3 linked regions of the Drosophila melanogaster genome follow. The protein of the gene in region 2 interacts with the protein of the main gene of each other region in a pairwise test. Each region holds a gene or a part of one and is shown on either strand. Other genes may lie near its edges.

Region 1 (7,011 bases), about 11 Mb from region 2:
TGCGATGGCATATTTTTAAAATGTTTATCAAAAATGGTTCACAGCATAAAAAGTTATTCGCTCGAATGGCGAGCGATAAAAAGCCGCGCATACGGTGCACTATTAATTTTATATCAAAGCATTTTGTTTCATATAAATGAAATTTAAAATTGTTATACCGGCAAAACGTAAACAATAAAAATCCGTATTAAAGACATTCCATCGTTCACGGGTTTTATAACATAATCTACGCCATCTAGTCATCATTAAATTCGGTTAATTGTTATTAATTGTTGCTGCATAGAATATTTAATTAAATTACTGCCATTTAATTATATTTTAGCACATTAGAGTTTAAGCTTTGTAATCTCACAACACATTTGTATTTACAAATTTAGCTTTAAAAGTGATTAATTTTAATTCCGAGCAGCGCAAACTCGCCGCGAAATTTACTTTAATGGGCCACAAGCATAAGTTGGACAAAAGCTCCCCAGGCGAGGCTTACACAATAAACCTTTTTAAATACGCGTAGCAAAATAAGCAAGAAGGATTTCAACGCAATCCTAATTGTCATAATCACGAGGGGAGACACTTGAACGTCCTTTGCGGCGTCAAAAATTAAAACGTGACACAAATTACTCGCTCGGCCTGCGTCGCCGCCGGGTGTCCTTTGCCCCCTCCTACCGCCCACCTTCTTCTCGCTCACTCAAATGTCATTAACCAGGACATAGGCGTCCGAGAAAGATGATGAGTGGAGGGGAGGGAAACTAGGAACGTCGGGCAGGCTGAGCACTGGGCTGGGCCCTGGTTGTTCCAACCGCACTGCGCCTGTCCTGAGGGGCGCTCCTCTGTCCAGGATCTGTCCCAATGTCCGCGTCTCGGTCGGTGTCCGTGTCAGTGACGATGGATGTAATTCCTCATGCGCGTACGCCGGCAAAAGCCCATGGTCACGGAAAGAAATTGCACGAGATTTCGAACTTAACGGACAAACCTACCAAAAGGTAGCTAGTTAACTTAACTAACAACTATCAATGTAGGCTAAGTTAGCTACTTATTACGTACATATAAATTATTTCATTCCTTTTCATAGTTTTTAAGAAGCAAAGGGAATTTGAAACCCGGAATTAGTTTTGCCCAATAAGTTATGTCCGTAAAAGATCAAGATCTTCTCACACGTAATTTCTGCCAGTGCACGTCTAGTACAAATAGCCACCCACTGCTGGTGCCGCCCCAACATATTGCCGCACCTCGGGGAGCCTTTGTTAATCATTTTGCCTCTGCTCGCAGATTTCGCACGCACGCACATGGTCGTGGAGCGGAGGAGGGGTTTAACGGAGGTGAAGCTCCAAGTGGGGGGCACTGGGCCAACATTTGCATATGTGCCTTCCAGAGAGAGGTGCACCATTATCCATCCACCTGCCCCGGGCCAGCTCAGCTGGTTTCTTTTATGATGATTGCCGGGATGTAGACTTGATATAGGGCTTCCAAGCCCTTGAAGAAGTCCTCTTCATAGGAAGCCAATGACATTTCAAGCGACGGACTCTTGTTCTGGGTCACCAAGCTGATGGAAATCTGATGTTTAAACTTTAACTAGTTCAACTAACAAACACGCTAAACATGTTTATTCCAAAAATAGAAAGCTGCTTAAGAATTCTTTATCATTACCACATGTTTCTTGTGGTCCAGTTGGTAAATTTTTGCGAGGCATTCGCCTGCAGGAAACATCTCGAAAATCTACAAACAAATAAAAAAGAACTTCACACAAAAAATCAGGAACATATGCAAAACTATCCACTGGAATAATAGTTTTAAATTGTGTTACACTTTAGATTTTTATTTGCCTAACCTAAAACTTCTAGCTTAATCTGGTATATATGTAACTGGTTTTTATCTTTAAGAAGCATTATACATCTTAACAACAGAACTTTGTAACTAAAATTTAATTGTGTTCACCTAATAGTAATAAAATAATATACCAAAACACGTAAGCTGCAAAGATATGGCATTTATTTAAATGTACTACAAATTTATGGGCCATATAATCAAGTGTGGAAACTTGCGTTCTCGAACCTTAAGCACTGAACTTGCCACCATATGTTTTTCCACTGTGAGGAAGTTTCACACATGCTTGGCCACACCCCCCCCCCCCCTCCCCCAAACACACACACACCTCCCTAACTTTTCCACAGCCTTCCAGCCCGCTTCGTTCGCCCACTTTTTTCACAACCCATTAGCAGCTGCTCACGGCGACGAGCAAGGAAAATCCAGCACCCGCTAATAGAAAATATCAAGCAATCGGCACACACATGCGAACTTAACTCCACGGAAAAAAAATAAATAAATAAATACGTATGTATACCGCATATAATATATTGATAGTGAGCAGTTTTGACAACTCAAGGCTAAGACTCGGCTTGGTTTTCAGGTAATATGCAAATATATAATTAATATATTGTGTGAGAAGACACATTTAGTGAAGCCAGCTTCGAAGTTACTGAAGAGCAGTAAAGAATTATATTAACTACCGTAACTTAATATTTTAGTTAAGTTAAGTTAATATTATAGTACCGTAATTTAATATTATTATCCAATATTCATATTTCTTATTGCCTTTGCTATAAGTAGTTATAAATTATGAAAATATTTGTTTAATATTAAATATTAATAAATATAAATAACAATGAATGTTTTCCTAAAGTAGCAAACACTTTTTAATTTTAAAAAGTAGTACGCTTAAAATAACTTTTTCATGATTAAAAACAGTTCGATTGAACTGAAAATGTTTTTGTCGTATCTTTCAATTTTACCTATCCATTAGGATACTATTTGTTGACCATGTTCAATGGCAAAAATTTAAGTGCAATCAATCATGAAACGTTTTCTTAAAGTTGCAAGCACTTTTTGTTTTTAAAAATTAGTATGCTTTCAAACTACTTTTTCATCATTGAAAACAGTTTAATTGGAACTGAAAATGTTATTGTCGTATCTTTAAATTTTACCTTTCCTTTAAGATACTATTTTTTGACCTCGTTCAATGGCAACGGTTTAAGTGCAATCAATCATGAAAGTGAATATGCTTGAAATGCTGATAATAAATAAAATTTTTTCCAGCTAGTGTTTCCTGTTTCAAGTCAAATGATTTTTGGTAATTGCGTTCGATACGATTATGTTTGCAAAGTGGAGAAAATGGTATTTCTCACCGTGTGCGGTGAAATTATAAAGGGGTGGGGTGGGCATGTGGCACTATATCGCACTCACCTGGAACGTGGAACTCCACCTCGCCATTTGGCTGGATACCGGAAATCTCCGTTGGCTGCTCATCAAAATCGGGGATACAGCCACTTTCGGTTTTTAGTGCCGACTTAAAATTGTGTTTGTATTTCTATGGATTTTCCAGACTGTCTGGCTGGGTTTTTCTTTCTTTTTATTTTTTGTTTCAAAAGAGCAAATGTTTTCAGAAATGGAAGTACCCTTATGTGTCCCTGTTGTTTATGTTGTTGTTGCTGCTGTTGTTGTTCCAACGGTTGCCAAAGCAACAACAAAAAAAAACTTGGCCAACAGGAGCGGCTGAAAGCAGGAACAACAAAAACATCAGGTGTGAGAAAGCACACACATACACATGTGTGCACACATAAGGCAGGACTCGCCAAGTGTAAATAGAGTAATAAAAAAATGTAGGGAAATGAAACAGGAAAAGCAGGCGGAAGAAAAATCGAAGCAAGTCCTGCGACAGAAAGAGAGAGCGCCACAGCGAGCAACAGAGAGTAAGAAAGAGAGAGAGAGCGAGTAAACTTTCGCCTTTTTTGTTTATTTCACAGACACACACACACACGAACGCACGCACACAATTTTCCAGGATGCGGCTTTTTTAAATTGACCGACTCGATAAATTTGCATTTCTCTTCGCCACTCATTTATTGCTCTCCCTACTTATTTCGGTTTTTATATCCAGCGTCGATTTTTGTTATTTTTAAACACGCACTTTGCGCAACTAACTGTAAATGTACCGCACACCACCCGCACACGAAGTCTGCAAACACTGGAGTCTTCTAAATTTCTCGAAAGTATTCGTCAATTTCAGTTGCATTTACCCAACAAACTTGTTTATTTCCGTATATTGTTTGCTGGCCTTTAAGCCAATGTCCGCTTAGTTTATTTAGTTCTTCCTAATTTATAAAAAATTGTGACGAACCAACCAGCTACGCGGACGAAAATCGAGCAATAACATAGAGCGTGCTTCGCCAAGCGCTTAAATACACTTTTCTTTTGGAGTCGTTCGAACTCGCGCAAGTTCGAAGCCTTGTGCTCGATGCAACAACAGTACGCAGTGGTTCGACTTCCTAACATTCTTACGGGTTCTGTAATCAAGCTACTCTGTTAGCCTCTCATATGTTAAAATATAAAAAAATATACATTAAAATAGAATATGTTTTTTGTTGAATTTTAAATTATGGCAGCGTGTAAATCTTTATTTAGTCAAAATAAAATGTTATGTATGCACATCCTGCTTTTTTTTAGAAATATATTTATCTTTGATTAAAAAACTTTAAAGTTCATATAGATTTATTTATTTTAAAACTCACTAGAGAAATTTTGGTGTGCATTCTGTCAAGTGTCTGCTGTAAATGTTTGCTAACAGCAGAAGTCTGCACAACCGCTGCTGTTAGTTGCGTGGGGGGCAGCACTGTTGAAGGTGCTATCCCGCTTTCGCAAAACAGCTGTGTTGGTTCAGCATTTCACGTTAGAGAACAATATTCTTTCGAAAGCGAATTAAATTGAACCACGTAAATTAAATATTTGATTTGAAATTATAAAAGATAAGAATTTCTCCAGACAAAAACAAAACCAAATGTATTTCATTTAATAATTGAATTAATTTATTCAAAAATTGAACACTTTGCACTTGGTAAAAAAGCTTATAATTAACTTAAGGCTGCAACAGATTCATCAGAGTATCCTAAAGCTATCGATCTCAAAGTAGTATGTAAAATCATCAGAAATAGAAGGCCGATGCCGCAATTCCATCAACATAAATTGTTCATTGGGCTTAGTATGCAGTTCTTTGGAGTGGCCGATATGGCAGTTTGATATAAAGAGTACGACTTAAATTAGCTACCCTACGGATCGATGAAGGAAATCATGATGTAACGCGTGCCATTGGTCACTAGCAATCCCTCGTGGTAGTGAGTCAGTCGACCCGGGTGCATCAGCATCCATCCCTTCTTCGTATCGGTCACGGAGCAGTTGTAACGAATGAAACGACAGCCACCGCCCTGATAGTCAATACCCGCCCGGTTCATCGCAATGTTGATGGTGTACGTGGAGGAGTCGTGGTGGGGTCGCAGAGAAGGCTGTTCATCCGGCCGATAACGCACCATGAAGTTCATCAGCGCGCGTGGAGGCTACAAAATTAGTGAGAATATTAAAACAAAATCTTCAAAATGATAATTCTTTGACTCACATTGTGGAAGTAACCCGTAAAGGCGCGCTCCTGCAGCGGACGAACGAACATTTGAAGAAATTTAAGATAGAGCCGCTCCAGGCCCACCTGCTTCATGTGGATATCCCTGGTGGGCACCGCCTCATATCCGCCCTCCAGCCGATTGTCGTTGTTGCTGCCGTCCGACCAACCGTTGTGCGCCTCCATGATGGCCACCAAATCGTCGCAGAACGCGTCCGACACGATCTGGAACCAATAGACATCCGGGCACGGCTGCTGTATCTTGTTGCTCTCGTTCAGCTGCAGTGAGTAGTTCGGATGTATGTACTTCTCCGTCCAGTCGATCTCGTTGCTAAACAACGTATAAAAGTCCGGACGTGTCACCGTAGTGTTGAAGTCATCGGCGTTGACCAAGTGACCGAATATGCGCAGATTGCTGGCGTACATGAAGATACCCTGGACAGAAGAGTGGACACATTAGTAACCAATTGAACACGATGTTCTGTCAAACACTTACCGCATTTCGGAGTGACTCGCACATGGCCATGTCGGGATCGAATTCCTTGTGCTTGAAGGAGATGGCATCGAAGGCGGTTTTCTTCACCAGATATATGCTCGTTACATGGGGCACATTGAACATTCCACTGGAAATGGGCGAACGAAACGCAAGTGACGAATGAGTTAGTCAAAACAGGGCGAACGATAAAGTCGAGAGCGGAATGATCTCGATGTCCAGCGGATTTGCAACAATGTTGCGAAAATGGAAAGTGACGTCGCACCGTCGAAAGCCCCCAACTAAATTCACTTAATTCAATAAAAACGCTCACATTAGAGCGATGTGGATGGCGTTCTGTTCGGATGTCGACAGTGCAGTTTGAAAACAACATTCACCGCAGGCGATCGGAATCGGAATCTCGGCTCGACAATAATGCCTCGTGGCATCTGTAATCTTCATCGGATCGTGCTCCTCTGTCTATGCTTTTTGATTTTCGGCGATCTCATCTACATAGCCGCCCAAAGTGAGCGATCTAAACTATATTAATTAAGCATAAATTAAATATCTGATTTTGTCACAGGAAGCACTGCGGGAAAGACGGAGCGTCGCAACTACACGGGCAAAAAACCCGTGGTCATCCAACACCGATCACAGGATGCAGTCAACTATTATGATCATGAAAATGTGAGTGGGTCAACATTGTTTTCAACATTAATACATGTGGTAACATTTTTCAGGGCGCCAAGATCATAAAGTCTTCGCATTTTGAATTGGACTACACCCTGGGACGCAAGATCACTTTCTTTTGCATGGCTCAAGGTGAGAGTTAGTTAGATGAAGTTACCAAGTCACCAAACATTGACATACTGACATTTTTGGATATTAGGCAATCCCCGACCGACCATTACCTGGTTTAAGGATGGCGCAGAGCTCTACCAACACCGATTCTTTCAGGTAACTTACGAAATTAATACTTTAAATATATATATAAAATTTTTACATTTACAGGTACACGAATCTCACATAGAAGCGAATATTGTTAAATCTAAAATGGAAATCGATCCAACCACTCAAATGGATGCTGGTAAGTTCGACA
Region 2 (6,204 bases):
TTAACCACCGTCGTTTATAAAAAACAAAGCGTTTATTTACATGTAATGAACATTATAAAAATGCACGTTGTTGCCCAAATAGCCATGAAATATCTTAAGCTGATACTTTTTCATATTTTTATTCAACCATAAATGCACACAGCTTTGTGCTTACGCGCACTGATTACTGAATAGATTGAGCAGTATTTGTTGTGGTGGAATTTTTTACCTAATCAGCACTATCAACAGCTATTTAAAGAACACATAATTGTTTGTCAATAAATCACCTTGAAATCAATGTGATACTTTCATTTAATTGCTATTAAATTCTGCACTTTACGTTTATAAGAGGCAATATCCTTGTGCTTACTGAAGAGCTGGTTATTACAGATTTGGATTTCCCAAACTAATAGGTACATATATTTACATCCCTTTCAGCACAAAATCGACATGGTGGCCCACTTTGCCGCCCTGAAGGCCGTGGGTGAGTCCTGCCGCATACCTTTGCAGTACTACCACAACAACATGACCGGCACCAATGTCCTGCTGGAGGCGATGGCCGACAACAATGTCTTCAAGTTCGTGTACAGCTCCAGCGCCACCGTATACGGTGAGCCAAAGTTCCTGCCCGTGACCGAGGAGCATCCCACGGGCAACTGTACATCGCCCTACGGCAAGACTAAATATTTCACCGAGGAGATTCTCAAGGATCTGTGCAAGTCTGACAAGGTAGGAGGATGTCATTTCTTGATGTCCATAAGTTCTGTACTAAAGAATTCGCTCTTTCAGCGTTGGGCAGTGGTTTCGCTGCGGTACTTCAACCCGGTGGGTGCCCACATCAGTGGTCGGATTGGCGAGGATCCGAACGGCGAGCCCAACAACCTGATGCCCTACATCGCACAGGTGGCCGTGGGTCGACGTCCCAGCCTGAGTGTCTACGGCAGCGACTTTCCCACGCACGACGGCACCGGCGTGCGCGATTACATCCACATCGTGGACCTGGCCGAGGGACACGTAAAGGCGTTGGACAAGCTGCGCAACATCGCGGAGACGGGCTTTTTCGCCTACAATTTGGGCACCGGCGTGGGCTACTCGGTGCTGGACATGGTGAAGGCGTTTGAGAAGGCCTCCGGCAAGAAGGTCAACTACACTCTGGTGGACCGACGGTCCGGAGATGTGGCCACTTGCTATGCGGACGCCACGTTGGCGGATAAGAAGCTGGGCTGGAAGGCCGAGCGTGGCATCGACAAGATGTGCGAGGACACGTGGCGCTGGCAGAGCCAGAACCCAAACGGGTATGCCAACAAGTAGAGCTGTATATCGCCACGTTCCTGCCGCTCCGCAAGTTCCTGAGTTACTACGCCTGATAATGGCTCAGGTAGCAATTTCTATTTGCCTCTAGTTGTGTATATTTCTTTCCAAATTTCGTGTAGTATTCGCTCACTTCGATGTGTGCAAGTGTGCGTATGTAATCCAAAGTACTTTGTAATTAAAAAGGCTTTTCGCTGTTGTCATGTAATTTTGTGACCGTCATTTACGCGTTTGGTGACCGCTGGCATCATTGACGCGTGCCAATTGGCGCAATCACGTAATTAAGGTCACCGACAAGGTGGCACTGGGAGATTACACTTGGCATTAGGTAAAATAAACACACAACTGCATCAACCATTTGTCAGATCTTAATCAAAAATGGCATAATCACATTAAGCTGACCAAAGTTACAAGAAGACGTCTAACTCGCACATTTATTTAGCAAACATTTATTCAAATGCAATATAACATTAAAAACTCAATTTTAAACTTAAGTGATGCGCCTTCTTCGCACATATCTGCACAGTTAAAGTCATTTATCACAAGTATGTACTATGAATGTATGTTTCTTTCAACAACTCTGCGTTCGGCTGCTGCTTCTGTTTGGTTTTGGAATGGTCTGCACGTATAAAAGTACAAAATTGTTTATATTCGAGCCTGTTGTTTCTGGGAGTGTTTGTTTGTATCGGTATTTGGCAATCTGTTTTACACTTAGGAGCTTGGCGATTCGTTCAACAAGTGATGGAGAGGCAAAGAAATCGAATTCAACAAGAAGCATTACTAGGTGCTACATTTACGTCTGGCTACATGTGTGTGCGATATGCATACGTAATGAATTAATATGTATAATATGGTAGTTCTAAGTATTCGCATAGGTTGCAGGAGGCAAAGAGATCCGTAGCCCAGAGGGGCGGTGGAGGGGATAGTTTAAATGCCGCTTAAATACTGCTGTAGTCTGTGGAGACCCTGCTCCGAGCACCACTTATGTGGAGGTCACGCCCTTGCGGGCCACCAGCATGTTGAGTATCGGGTTTTTCCGGATGTAGCTCACGGCCTTTTTGTGGGTGACCATGGTGAAGTCGTAGCCGTTGCACTGCAGGATCTTGTCGTGGATCCGCAGACCTGCTCGGGCGGCGGGACTGCCCTCGTGCACCTCGGTCACATAGATGCCCTATTTTCAAAGGGGAAAACGTAACATTGTAACATTGAAACTGCTCTTAAGATACCGAACTAAAACTAAATTCCCCGACTTTCAAGGAGAGCTATAATTATTAGCTTTAAGATTGAAGCTCTCTTTTATGCCCGGAATTAGGTTCTAGTGTTTCCCAAGTTTCTCACATAATCCGTGTATCCCTGAGGGCTTTTCTTGTAGTCCTGGTCGATTCCGCCGCCGATCTTGAAGCCGCACTTGAGGATCTCGCGCCCCTCCTGGTCGTAGTCCTTCTCCTTGTGCAGCGTGATGGGAATCTGGGAATTGTGAGTCACATTTCATCAATCACTCGAATTTGAAAGTGGCTTGTCTTTTTTGCTCCAGCGACCCAATTTCACCTATACACACACAGGCGACTGTGCGTGTGAGCCAGGTTTAGTTCGTTCGCAACTTACGCTCAAGCACTCCATCGCCGTGCCGGCCTGGTGCTGGAATGCCATTTTCGCCATGTCTACCGATGCTTTGACTAACTTTAATTTGCTAGATTAGCTAAGATTCCGCTGGTAAATTCGTCTTAAGATTGTCGCCCACAACAAACTCTGCTTCTTCCTCGCAATCATTTATCGATGGCGAAAAATCGATAGGTTGCAGCAATAATGCGATTGTTGCCAGCGACTGCCGCTGACTTTAAATATATACTTTTCATATAAAATAAAAACATGAAGGTCTTTACGATTGCTGTTTGGCAATGTTTCTTAGTTTTATTTATACTATATTATACATCTAGAGTCCCTATGCCTATGAGCGCCGCATGGCCAGCATGGTGTTGATCTCCCAGATGATGATGCGTGTCCGATCGATGATCTCGCGTAGCTGCCTGTTCTTCAGCTTGACGGTCTCTATGAGTTCATGGTTCTCCTGCAGGACTTTCCGGTACTCATCGCACAGCGAGGGCTCGATTCTCGGTTCCGGCTCATCGCGGTAGGGAATCAGACTCTCGGCGCTCATGTAATCCATTCCGGCGTCGTTGCACTTCTCGTAGATGATGCGCACCCTCTTGAAGAGCAGCCGGATGGTGCGGAAGTACTCCTGCACCTTCTTCTCGGAGCTGTTTTCCCTGTGCGAGGTGGGCTGGATGCCCTTGAGGGAGGCGAAGACCTCCTGGAAGCGCGAGGCGATATCCTGCACCGTTTCCTGACCGAGACGGGACAGCTGCACAATGTTAATCTCCTTGTGAGGATTTTGCTGCGAGATAGCCAGCATATTGTTGCTGCCCCCGGCTCCACCGGGTGGAATTCCTGCGACCGGATTGAGTTGCTGTTGCTGTTGGGGAATGTTCTGCTGGGGCATGTTTTGTTGGGGCTGCTGTTGCTGCTGCTGTGGAACCACTCCCCCTCCGCCCATTCCCACACCACCGCCCATTCCCACTCCGACGCCCACTCCTTGTTGGGGCACCATCATTTGCTGCTGCATCATCTGCTGCTGCTGCTGTTGCTGCATCTGGTGCTGCGGAGACATGCCGGGCATCAGGCCGCCAGGACCTCCAGGTCCTTGGGGATTCATCTGCATGCTACCCGGGCCGCCCATCATGCCCATTTGTTGTTGCTGCTGTTGATGTTGAGGCGACATGTGCATTTGCTGCATATTGCCGTGCTGCATGCCAAATCCACCCATCGGCATCATGTTGGGGCCCCCGCCTCCTCCGCCGCCGCTCGATGGTCCCTGATTACCCTGGTTTTGACCGTATTTCCACATTTTGCAACGTTCTTATAAAATAAACAAAATATCACGCAGAACGATAAACTTTGGCAAATGACACTGTTGTCGATAACATAAAACAAAACGGATAGTGTTAGATAACGCTGAAACTGTATGCTCGCAAACAGCTGTGAAGTCGCGGGTTTTAAATTACCAATCCTAAATGATAGATCTAGATCTAGATCTAGATTATCTTCACTAGATAAATTTGAGTGTTTTTACTAAGTTTTTATTTGGTGATTACTAAAATTTAAATTCTTAGTCAAATCCAAAATGGTAATAATAGCCCCCTGCAAAACTCGTTAGGAATGCGTCCATGCGAAAAGAGAGTTGCCACATGCGCGCAAAAATAATGAACATAGGTGTGTCAGCTGAGCGGTATTGGTGGAATTCAATTTTGGCTTTTTCATGCTTTTAAACGATTAAAAATGACCCGCGATGAGGATAATGGTTTTAGTGAATGGGTAAGATGTAGATAAAATGCTAAAAACATTGTACATAAACCAAACCTGCTCTTTTCAGGGCGGCTACTTCGAAGCCAAGAAATCTAAACTTGAGGAGCAGTTCGCTGCCGCCAGCGATCCATTTCGCAAGTCGGACCTCTTCCAAGGAATTTCTATATTTGTGAACGGCCGGACTGACCCTTCGGCGGATGAACTGAAGCGTATTATGATGGTGCACGGCGGGACCTTTCACCACTACGAAAGGAGCCACACGACGTACATAATAGCCTCCGTTCTGCCCGATGTGAAGGTCAGGAACATGAATCTCAGCAAGTTCATCAGCGCCAAGTGGGTGGTGGATTGTCTGGAGAAAAAGAAGATAGTAGACTACAAACCCTATCTGCTGTACACGAACCAGAAGACATCGCAGCCCATGCTCATCTTTGGGAAACCCAAAGACAACGGCGCAAATGAGAGCAAATCGGATGTGGAGCCGCCGAAAGATAAAGCGGAAGTGGAAGTAGACTCTACAAAAGATGAAACGCAAATGGAGTTGGGTGGCATTCTCAAGAATTTGCAGCAGGCTGTGGCCACTTCGCCGGAAAAGGAGGCCAGTGCATCAGAGAGCAAGATCACAAACTTATCCACCACCTCGAATAACTCCACCACCGCTCGCACAGCCGCGGATCCAAATTTCTTAAGTGAATTCTATAAGAACTCACGACTGCATCACATCGCCACTCTAGGCGCGGGTTTCAAGCAGTATGTCTGCCGGTTGCGTCAGAAGCATGGTACCCAGGGCTTTCCCAAAAGAGAGACACTGAAGTCCCTTGCTAATTCACACCACAATTGTTTGGAACGCTATGTGATGCACATTGACATGGACTGCTTCTTTGTGTCCGTGGGCCTAAGAACCCGTCCTGAGCTTCGTGGGCTGCCGATTGCGGTGACCCACTCGAAGGGAGGTAACGCAGCCACCGATGTACCGGTGCATCCGCAGGCGGACCGAAAGGCAGAGCTGGAACTCTTTGCCCAGCGCTTCGAGCACCATTTCCACGATGGAGACAAGGCGGAAAAGGTGCGCTCGGGCTTCGACAAGAAAATGTCGCTCTCGGAGATCGCCTCCTGCAGCTACGAGGCGCGGGAAAAGGGTATCCGCAATGGCATGTTTGTGGGCCAGGCCCTGAAGCTGTGCCCGGAGTTAAAGACGATTCCGTACGACTTCGAAGGCTACAAGGAGGTGGCTTTCACTCTGTACGACACAGTGGCTCAGTATACCTTAAATATCGAGGCTGTGAGTTGCGACGAGATGTTTGTGGAGCTAACCGATCTGGCACACGAACTCAATGTAGATGTGATGGCTTTTGTGAGTCACCTCAGGCAGGAGGTTTACTCCAAAACGGGATGTCCGTGCTCAGCAGGAGTGGCAGGCAACAAGTGAGAGACCAAATAAGCCTTTTACAATTATAATATATATTATATATATTATAGGTTGCTGGCGCGTATGGCCACCAAGGAGGCCAAGCCGAATGGCCAGTTCTTGTTGGATTCGAGCAATGATAT
Region 3 (6,981 bases), on a different chromosome or scaffold from region 2:
ACTGCACATGATTTTATTGTTGCGTTTTGCACCGATGCTAAGTAAATGTTATTACAACAATAATAATAATGCTTCGAAAAAATGGGAAAGGAATTTTTGTGCGAAAACTCGCGCTGCATGGAAAACTTGAAAAACCGGCAGTGGCAAGAGACCAAGCACAAAATGCCCCTGCTGGCAGCATCGAGACATTAACGATTCACACATTTGCGGCAACATAATTTCAGTTGCCCAGTTAGTCAGATAGTCAGCTAAAGTTGCGGATTTCCAAATGCCGGAGTCGTATGCAATTGGCAAAAAGGCGAAACAAAAAAAAAACAGTCGATGGGGCAGCCACATGTCGTGGTCGAAGTTGCAGGCCAGCAAAAATGAAAAAAAAAGCTCTGGGCCAACATTTGTGCGCAATTACGAAAGGCCAAAACCAAGCGGCTACAATGTGGCGGCCATCATAATTTCCATTCAGCCAGCACGGGCAAAGAAAACATTAAAGGAAAAATGAGTGGCACCAGTAGCATTAGCAACGGCCAAGTAATTGCAGGAAAGTGCTGGGAAATGAAAGGAAAGGAGGGACTCGGACTTTCCTTGGACCCATTCCAGACCGACAGCCAAAAGAGCTTATAATGGAAACTTTCAAGTCGCTTTCAAGATGATTTCTATGGAGATAGTTTCTATACTCCATCTCCATTCAAAGGGCTACAATTGCAATGAGATTGCAGCCAGACATTCCAAAAGGAATTGATCTTTTGTGGCTCTTAGGCTTTTTATCTTAGAAATGTCGATGGAATCCCGTTAATGTATAGTTAAGAACTTACATTTTTATACCATGATAAACCATGATCGTGATTATAGATCGAAGTAGTCGCAGCATGAGTTTTCTCTCGGCAAGCTGACAGGTCGCATTGAGCGTAGTTCAGCCTCCGTAGAAGTAAACCAGAAAGTGACTCGAAACAATTGAACAAAATTCCAGTAAGTACAAATGTGATTGTACTTAAATGGCTTATCCCACTGATGGTGCTTATCCCCCCCAAGTCCAGTGACATGTCCGAACTGCAAGCATCGCTACTGCTCAATCGCCAGCTCTCCGAATTACAACGCCATCCCGTCGAGGGCTTCTCCGCCGGTCTGGTCAGCGACTCCGACATCTTCAAATGGGAGGTGGTGATCATCGGTCCCCCAGATACGCTATACGAGGGCGGCTTCTTCAAGGCTCACCTGATCTTCCCCAAAGAGTACCCACTGCGCCCGCCCAAGATGAAGTTCATCACCGAAATCTGGCATCCCAATATTGACAAGGCCGGCGACGTTTGCATCTCGATCCTCCACGAACCTGGTGACGATAAGTGGGGCTACGAGAAGGCCGAGGAGCGCTGGCTACCGGTCCACACCGTGGAGACGATCCTTCTTTCCGTTATCTCCATGCTCACCGATCCCAATGACGAGTCGGCCGCCAATGTGGATGCGGCCAAGGAGTACCGGGAGAATTATGCGGAATTCAAGCGCAAGGTCACCAGGTGCGTCCGCCGTAGTCAGGAGGAGGTGGAATAGACCGGATAGACTGGGCAGTGACATGATGATCAGGAACGGCACACATGCTAATCACGTGAATAAAGAGAGCAACTAGTGGAAATCTCGCACTTTGAAGTGTCGAAAGTGGGGAGAATATCTCCTAATTGGAGCCTCCAATTAGGGCATTTCAATCTCTTTGAGCTTGCGCCAATTCAGTGACACCTGTCGGCATTAATTACACTTAATCGCTTTGGAGCTACGGGTATTACCTCCTGGCATAGGCCGATCTTAAGCCAGTGTGCTTAATAGGCTTAGACCTCTTCTAGTTGCACACTGACACAGTTATGGACGTTCTCTGTGGTTGCTCTGTGGCTTCCAGAGGAAAGCTGAGGCAGCTGGCCACTTGGCCGCTTTTTATGGTCTTCACATGGCGACAAAAATTTACACATGCACTGAGCCAAATTCCAGAGAAGGGGCTCAGCATTTCTCTTCATTTGGCTACACTTTATGGTCAATAAAAGGACCATAATGTGGTCTGATTTAGAAGTGAATTGGCTTTTAAAATGTTAACATTATGTCCGTTCCTTGAGCACCTTTTTTCCAGTGCAGCAACAACAAATTGCCGATGTTGCTGTTGCTCTTGGTGTTGCTGCTGTTGGTTGTTGGTGTTGCTGTTGGTTGTTGCTGGTGGCGAATGGCCAGTAGTGTGAGCCAGCAACATCAGAAAATGGCTCCATACACCGACTTGTTTTGGTGAGTGGAGTGTAGTGGAGTGCGGCGGAGCTCCTGGGCAACGAGTCTAGAGTTTAGCTGCCAGCATTTTTGTGGTTAGCTGAACTTGTTTTTGCTTTTGCTGTAATTGTTGTTTATTAGCAACAAGTTTTGCATTTTTGATTTTTTCTCTTTTGCCCAAGCCAGCGTGGCCCCACAGCACTTCGCCGCATGTCGCATTGTTTGGCCGTGAGTCAATTCCGGAGCGGGATACTAGCTCATTCGCCACGGACTGGGTGTGACTCTCAAATAAAATCCCAATCGCAATTCCACACAGTGACTGTCTGGCTAAAAGATTCAAATGATCCCCGTGTGATTCAGCAAATACCTCAAAACAAAGCCCAAAACAGAATAAGCAGAAATCGGTGAGCGATTTGGAAACTGGGTAAATAAGGCCATGCACCTTCAATCGGCAAAAAGCAAAATCATAAAAAAAAAAAAGTGGAAAAAATCTTGGCGGCAATAAGCCACAGCATCATGATCACCACGACGATCGGGCAAATAGTAAAAAACGAAAACGAAACGAAAGAAAACAAAGCGAGGGAAAAGAAAACGGCCCGAAGAAACCAGCTCTCTTCAGAAATCTTCAGCGAAGAAGATGCTCGACCTGGAGATGGAGATTCTTCTGTGAGTTAAAAACTCACTCAGCCAGTAGAAATTGAATTGATGGCTGGGCTGGGCTGGGGGATATATGGGTATGGAAAACCGGATTTGAGCCTGGGCCCCAAAACGCAGGGTATCTAGATTTATAAATAGCCGCACAGCTTTCCGATATATGGACTATATGGTATGCGCTGGTGCAGTGAAATCTCCTCTGGCGGCTAATGGGAAAACCAGGGTCAATCCAAAAACAGGTAGTTCGGAATCATTAGGTTTTATGGTGAGGGTGGAAAAACGCAGCTGGTCAAGTGTGTGAGTGTTTGCTTCGCGTCTCTTGTTTTTCTCGAGAAGAAACCCCGATTTACAAGCGATTTTACCTACCCTGTAGTTTTCGGTTCCAAAATCCAATGGGTCCCGCTCGATGTTAACTGGTATGGGTGCGTGTTGCATACGTGTTAAGTAAATTCCAATATGTGGTCTGGACTGCCTCACGTATCTTGCAGATACTTGGGCACAGCGATACTGGTTTTTTGGGATTTCGTAAAGTTGCCCGCTAGTAAACGAATGATAATGATGGTGTCGATGATGCGCCGATGCGATGATGAGTAATCCCGGCAAAAAAGGGTAAACACTAGCACTTTACATCTACTCGTAGAATGTACATCACTTCTTTTTTTTTTCCTCTTTTTCGTCGTACGGTTAGTGCAAAACCTTTACACGCTCGATGGTTTTGTCAGCCATAAAACATTGCCGCGAGACGAATCACAAAAAAACATTATATGTACATACGTACATATATACAACTGAAAAACTACCTGACGCGCAGCGTGCGCCATAAAACTAAAGACAAACACTGAAATGAACTGAGCTCTTGTTGGCGTTGTTGTTGTTGTTGTTTTTGTAATATTTTATAACGCGGTCCGCTCGCGTTTATCGCTCTCTTTCGCTCGCACTCGGACACGTCCACCTGCGTCGCCGTCTCAAAGTAAACTAAACCCAACTACGTTGAAAACAAGTTTTCGAAATGCTGCTAATGTTGCTGGCCGGCTTCTTGGCAACATTTCAAGTGGCAGCGAGATAAACAACACGCACACACACCGACACACGCGAGTGCAAACATTGCAATGTTGCTCGCACGGCAGCAACACGCAACATGTTGCCGGCGTGGTACAGCGCGGGCGTTTGTTGTTGCCGGCTTTTTGGCTGGTCGTTGGCACTGCCCCACACTCCCAATTTTCCATTTTGACTAGGGTAGTTCGGACTGCTCTCCAGATAGCATCTGCTGCAGGGGTATATTGCGTTTCGGTGGTTTTTTCATAGGTGTGGGTGGTTTATTAAATTTGCGTTTCAACGAGAAATAACGTCGATGCCCTCAATGTTTGTTTAATTCATTAGTGATTGGACAGCTCGCAAACTTTTCCCTTTTCACATTTTAAAACGATGCTATTAAGTGCAGTGGACAAAAGTACTCAAGGAAAACTAACAAAACAAGTGATTGCCCGCAGGAAAGTGATAAATTGGTAAATCGATGAAATTACCAAAAAGAAGCTGCACATAAAACAACGCCATTCATTCAGAAATTCAGAAATTCTATATCAAGAGAAATCTCTGGAATATTCTTGGTATCTATTATATATGGTATAAATGTTTTAGTTTGAATAAAGGTACACAGTATGTCTTAAGTCTTAACTTTTTTATATAAATTTATCCATCGAGGATATTTACAAATAGCTGTGTACAATAGTTTTTCCTTTTTTTCATATTTCTACAGTACCAAACTAGTCGAGTTAGGCTCTTAAGTTTACAAAGTTGTTATTTTCCAAGCAGTGCTACATCCGTTTCGTATTTACACTGAACGAACACAATGAATGCGCTTATTTGTCCCTCCTTCCAGTTCCCTCGAGATAAAGCCGCCTGCCTGGCGCTAAATATTTGATGAAGCTGCAAAAGGCGGACGAGACGACAGGCGGAATAGATACGAGCGCCAGATACTGGATAGCAGATACAGATACATTTGCACGCCCAGATGGATTGGATGGCGATGGCCTGCTGCATAGACAAGCTGTCTGCTAGTATGCTAGTATGTACGTCAGTTGTAGCTTTCCCGCTTTTCATTTCCCAAATGCAAAATGGATGTTCATCTTGGACATGTTTGCTCTCGACTGTCAAATGCTCGGCAAAGTGGGCGTTTATGGGTCGCTCGTTGGTGGAGGGGGGATCGGTGGCAGGTCAGAGGTTATGATGGTTTCGTACCTCTTGTCATTTACCTCATTTGCACTTGAGAATTTATTTCGGCCTGCTCTGGGCTACGAATGTCGTATTTACTTATTTACACTGACCTCTCCCACATGCACTCAGAAAAATGTCAAGTACTCATATCAAAAAGTAATAATAAAATAATATTATATAATTAAATTTGATTAAACTATTTGTATTTCGTTTTATAATACAACAAAATACAGAAATGTTATGTAAGACACTGGTTAAGAATATTCATTTCACACTTTTCAACAATAGCAATAGATTAAATTCATGCCAAGTGTATTTAGCATACTTCATTGCATTTTCTTGCAGTGCATTTCGTAGCCAACCAGTTGTTGCTGTTGACTTTGCCATCGTTTATCTTATCTGAGGAGATGTCGTCGCCGGATGATGATAGTAGAGACAACGCCTTTGCATTTGTCTTTACCTCAATGCGCCGCATGCCACCCCCAACACACCTCCAGTGCGCCCAGTATCCATTATCCATGGCATATGTATGAATTGCTGGTGTGGCTGTTGGGCACATGTCTTGGCATTTCCATTTCCATTTGCATTTTCAACAATTGTCAATTGTGGAGGACGCACTGCAGCATTGCGCCGGCAATGGCAAGGGACATTTGCATACGTAAGAGTGTGACGAGAGTACGTAACATTTGTCTGCACAACGACAAGCTCACTTTGATGCCATCAAAGCCGCCCCAACATCAACCCCAACCACCAGGAAGAGCAACATCCAGATCCACATCCACATCACAAACTACAATTGCAGCCAGCCAAGTTGGCAAAGTTTATGCCATGCATTTCGTCTGGCCTTTGTTTGTTGTTGTTGTTGCTGTTGTTGGTTGTATACAATTTGCATAAAACTCAAAACGAATTTATTTTGAAAGGCAACTTTATTTCTCTGCCGGCGAGCTGGTCATCCGCTTTAAGTTCACACCCGCACCCGAGACCTCCATCTCCCCGACAGTCATTACACATTTTGCGACCAGGACCTGCCTGTCCTTTGAGCACCAGCTGCAGCTTACATATTCATGGCCAAAGCAAACCCAAACCTAAACCCAACTACCTGGATTCTGGTTGGATTCTAGGGCCAGAGCTCATCACTTCTCTATTCCTCGGGGCAAAGGTCCTCATCCCCAGCCAACTGAAGTGGGTGGAAATGACCTCGTCTGTCGCCCGGCAAATGAACTTTAATTAAATGCTAATAGTTAAAGTTGCTTTCGGCGCAGTTTTTTGTCCGAGTTTTTCGGCTAAATATGCATGCTGGATAAACAGGATGTGCACGTGGTTGTGGAGTCTGCACCAGCCAGCCGGAAGTGGAAGTGCCAGAGGTGCGATCTCCAGCAGAGGAAACCACTTGACAAAGAAGGAACTCTAATTTCAGCTAGAGGTGCAGTCTAATCCGTAGATTGTTTATATCTCATAGGTGTTTACTTAATTTTGAGCATGGATCTGTTTTGGGCTGCCACTAAATAACTATCTATTATATAACTATCTATATATATACATATATATATAATGCAAAAAACAAAAATAACGGAAAAATCGAGTTCGTTCTAAGAAAAAGAGCAAGACAAAGTAGGAAAACAAAATGTGTAAAAGAGTTTCTTGATATTTATTTTATTTATTTATTTTCTTGTATATTTGATATTTTGAATTTGTTTTTTAATTTATAAGTAAAATAAATATTGTTTAATTATATTTCATAAAAAAATTGCGTTTAATTAAGCAAAAAACCCTTAATTTTGACCTTTAAAGTCAAAAATTCAAGTTATTTCACGGTGTGTAAACAGTTTCTTGACAAACTGTATAGTCTGTCAATAATATTTTGCAATTTTATTTCAA

The links.
Region 1: the proteins of CG3402 (region 2) and GlcAT-P interact in a two-hybrid assay, tested with the Drosophila melanogaster proteins (one large-scale study listed by BioGRID).
Region 3: the proteins of CG3402 (region 2) and kmr interact in a two-hybrid assay, tested with the Drosophila melanogaster proteins (one large-scale study listed by BioGRID).

Annotation. Positions count from the first base shown.
Region 1 is NT_037436.4:11,193,330-11,200,340, forward strand, and holds the start of GlcAT-P (glucuronyltransferase P), read right to left. Parts: upstream 4,208-7,011; 5' UTR 4,071-4,207; exon of another isoform or gene 3,910-4,070; intron 3,547-3,909; 5' UTR 3,238-3,546; intron 1-3,237. Other genes in the region: Plod (procollagen lysyl hydroxylase), read right to left, coding at 5,097-5,381, 5,441-5,875, 5,937-6,063; CG7607 (uncharacterized protein), read left to right, coding at 6,348-6,438, 6,496-6,599, 6,653-6,734, 6,802-6,869, 6,924-6,999. UniProt on the Drosophila melanogaster protein: Involved in the biosynthesis of L2/HNK-1 carbohydrate epitope on both glycolipids and glycoproteins. Enzyme has a broad specificity.
Region 2 is NT_037436.4:649,816-656,019, forward strand, and holds CG3402 (uncharacterized protein), read right to left. Parts: upstream 3,067-6,204; 5' UTR 2,950-3,066; coding exon 2,896-2,949; intron 2,758-2,895; coding exon 2,629-2,757; intron 2,462-2,628; coding exon 2,273-2,461; 3' UTR 1,727-2,272; downstream 1-1,726. Other genes in the region: Gale (UDP-galactose 4'-epimerase), read left to right, coding at 418-708, 769-1,290; MED30 (mediator complex subunit 30), read right to left, coding at 3,239-4,195; DNA polymerase Rev1, read left to right, coding at 4,627-4,662, 4,721-6,078, 6,133-6,204.
Region 3 is NT_033777.3:13,712,094-13,719,074, reverse strand, and holds the start of kmr (kramer), read right to left. Parts: upstream 3,869-6,981; 5' UTR 3,256-3,868; intron 1,622-3,255; exon of another isoform or gene 1,543-1,621; coding exon of another isoform or gene 1,036-1,542; exon of another isoform or gene 1,027-1,035; intron 964-1,026; exon of another isoform or gene 899-963; intron 1-898. Other genes in the region: Ubc87F (ubiquitin conjugating enzyme 87F), read left to right, coding at 1,036-1,542.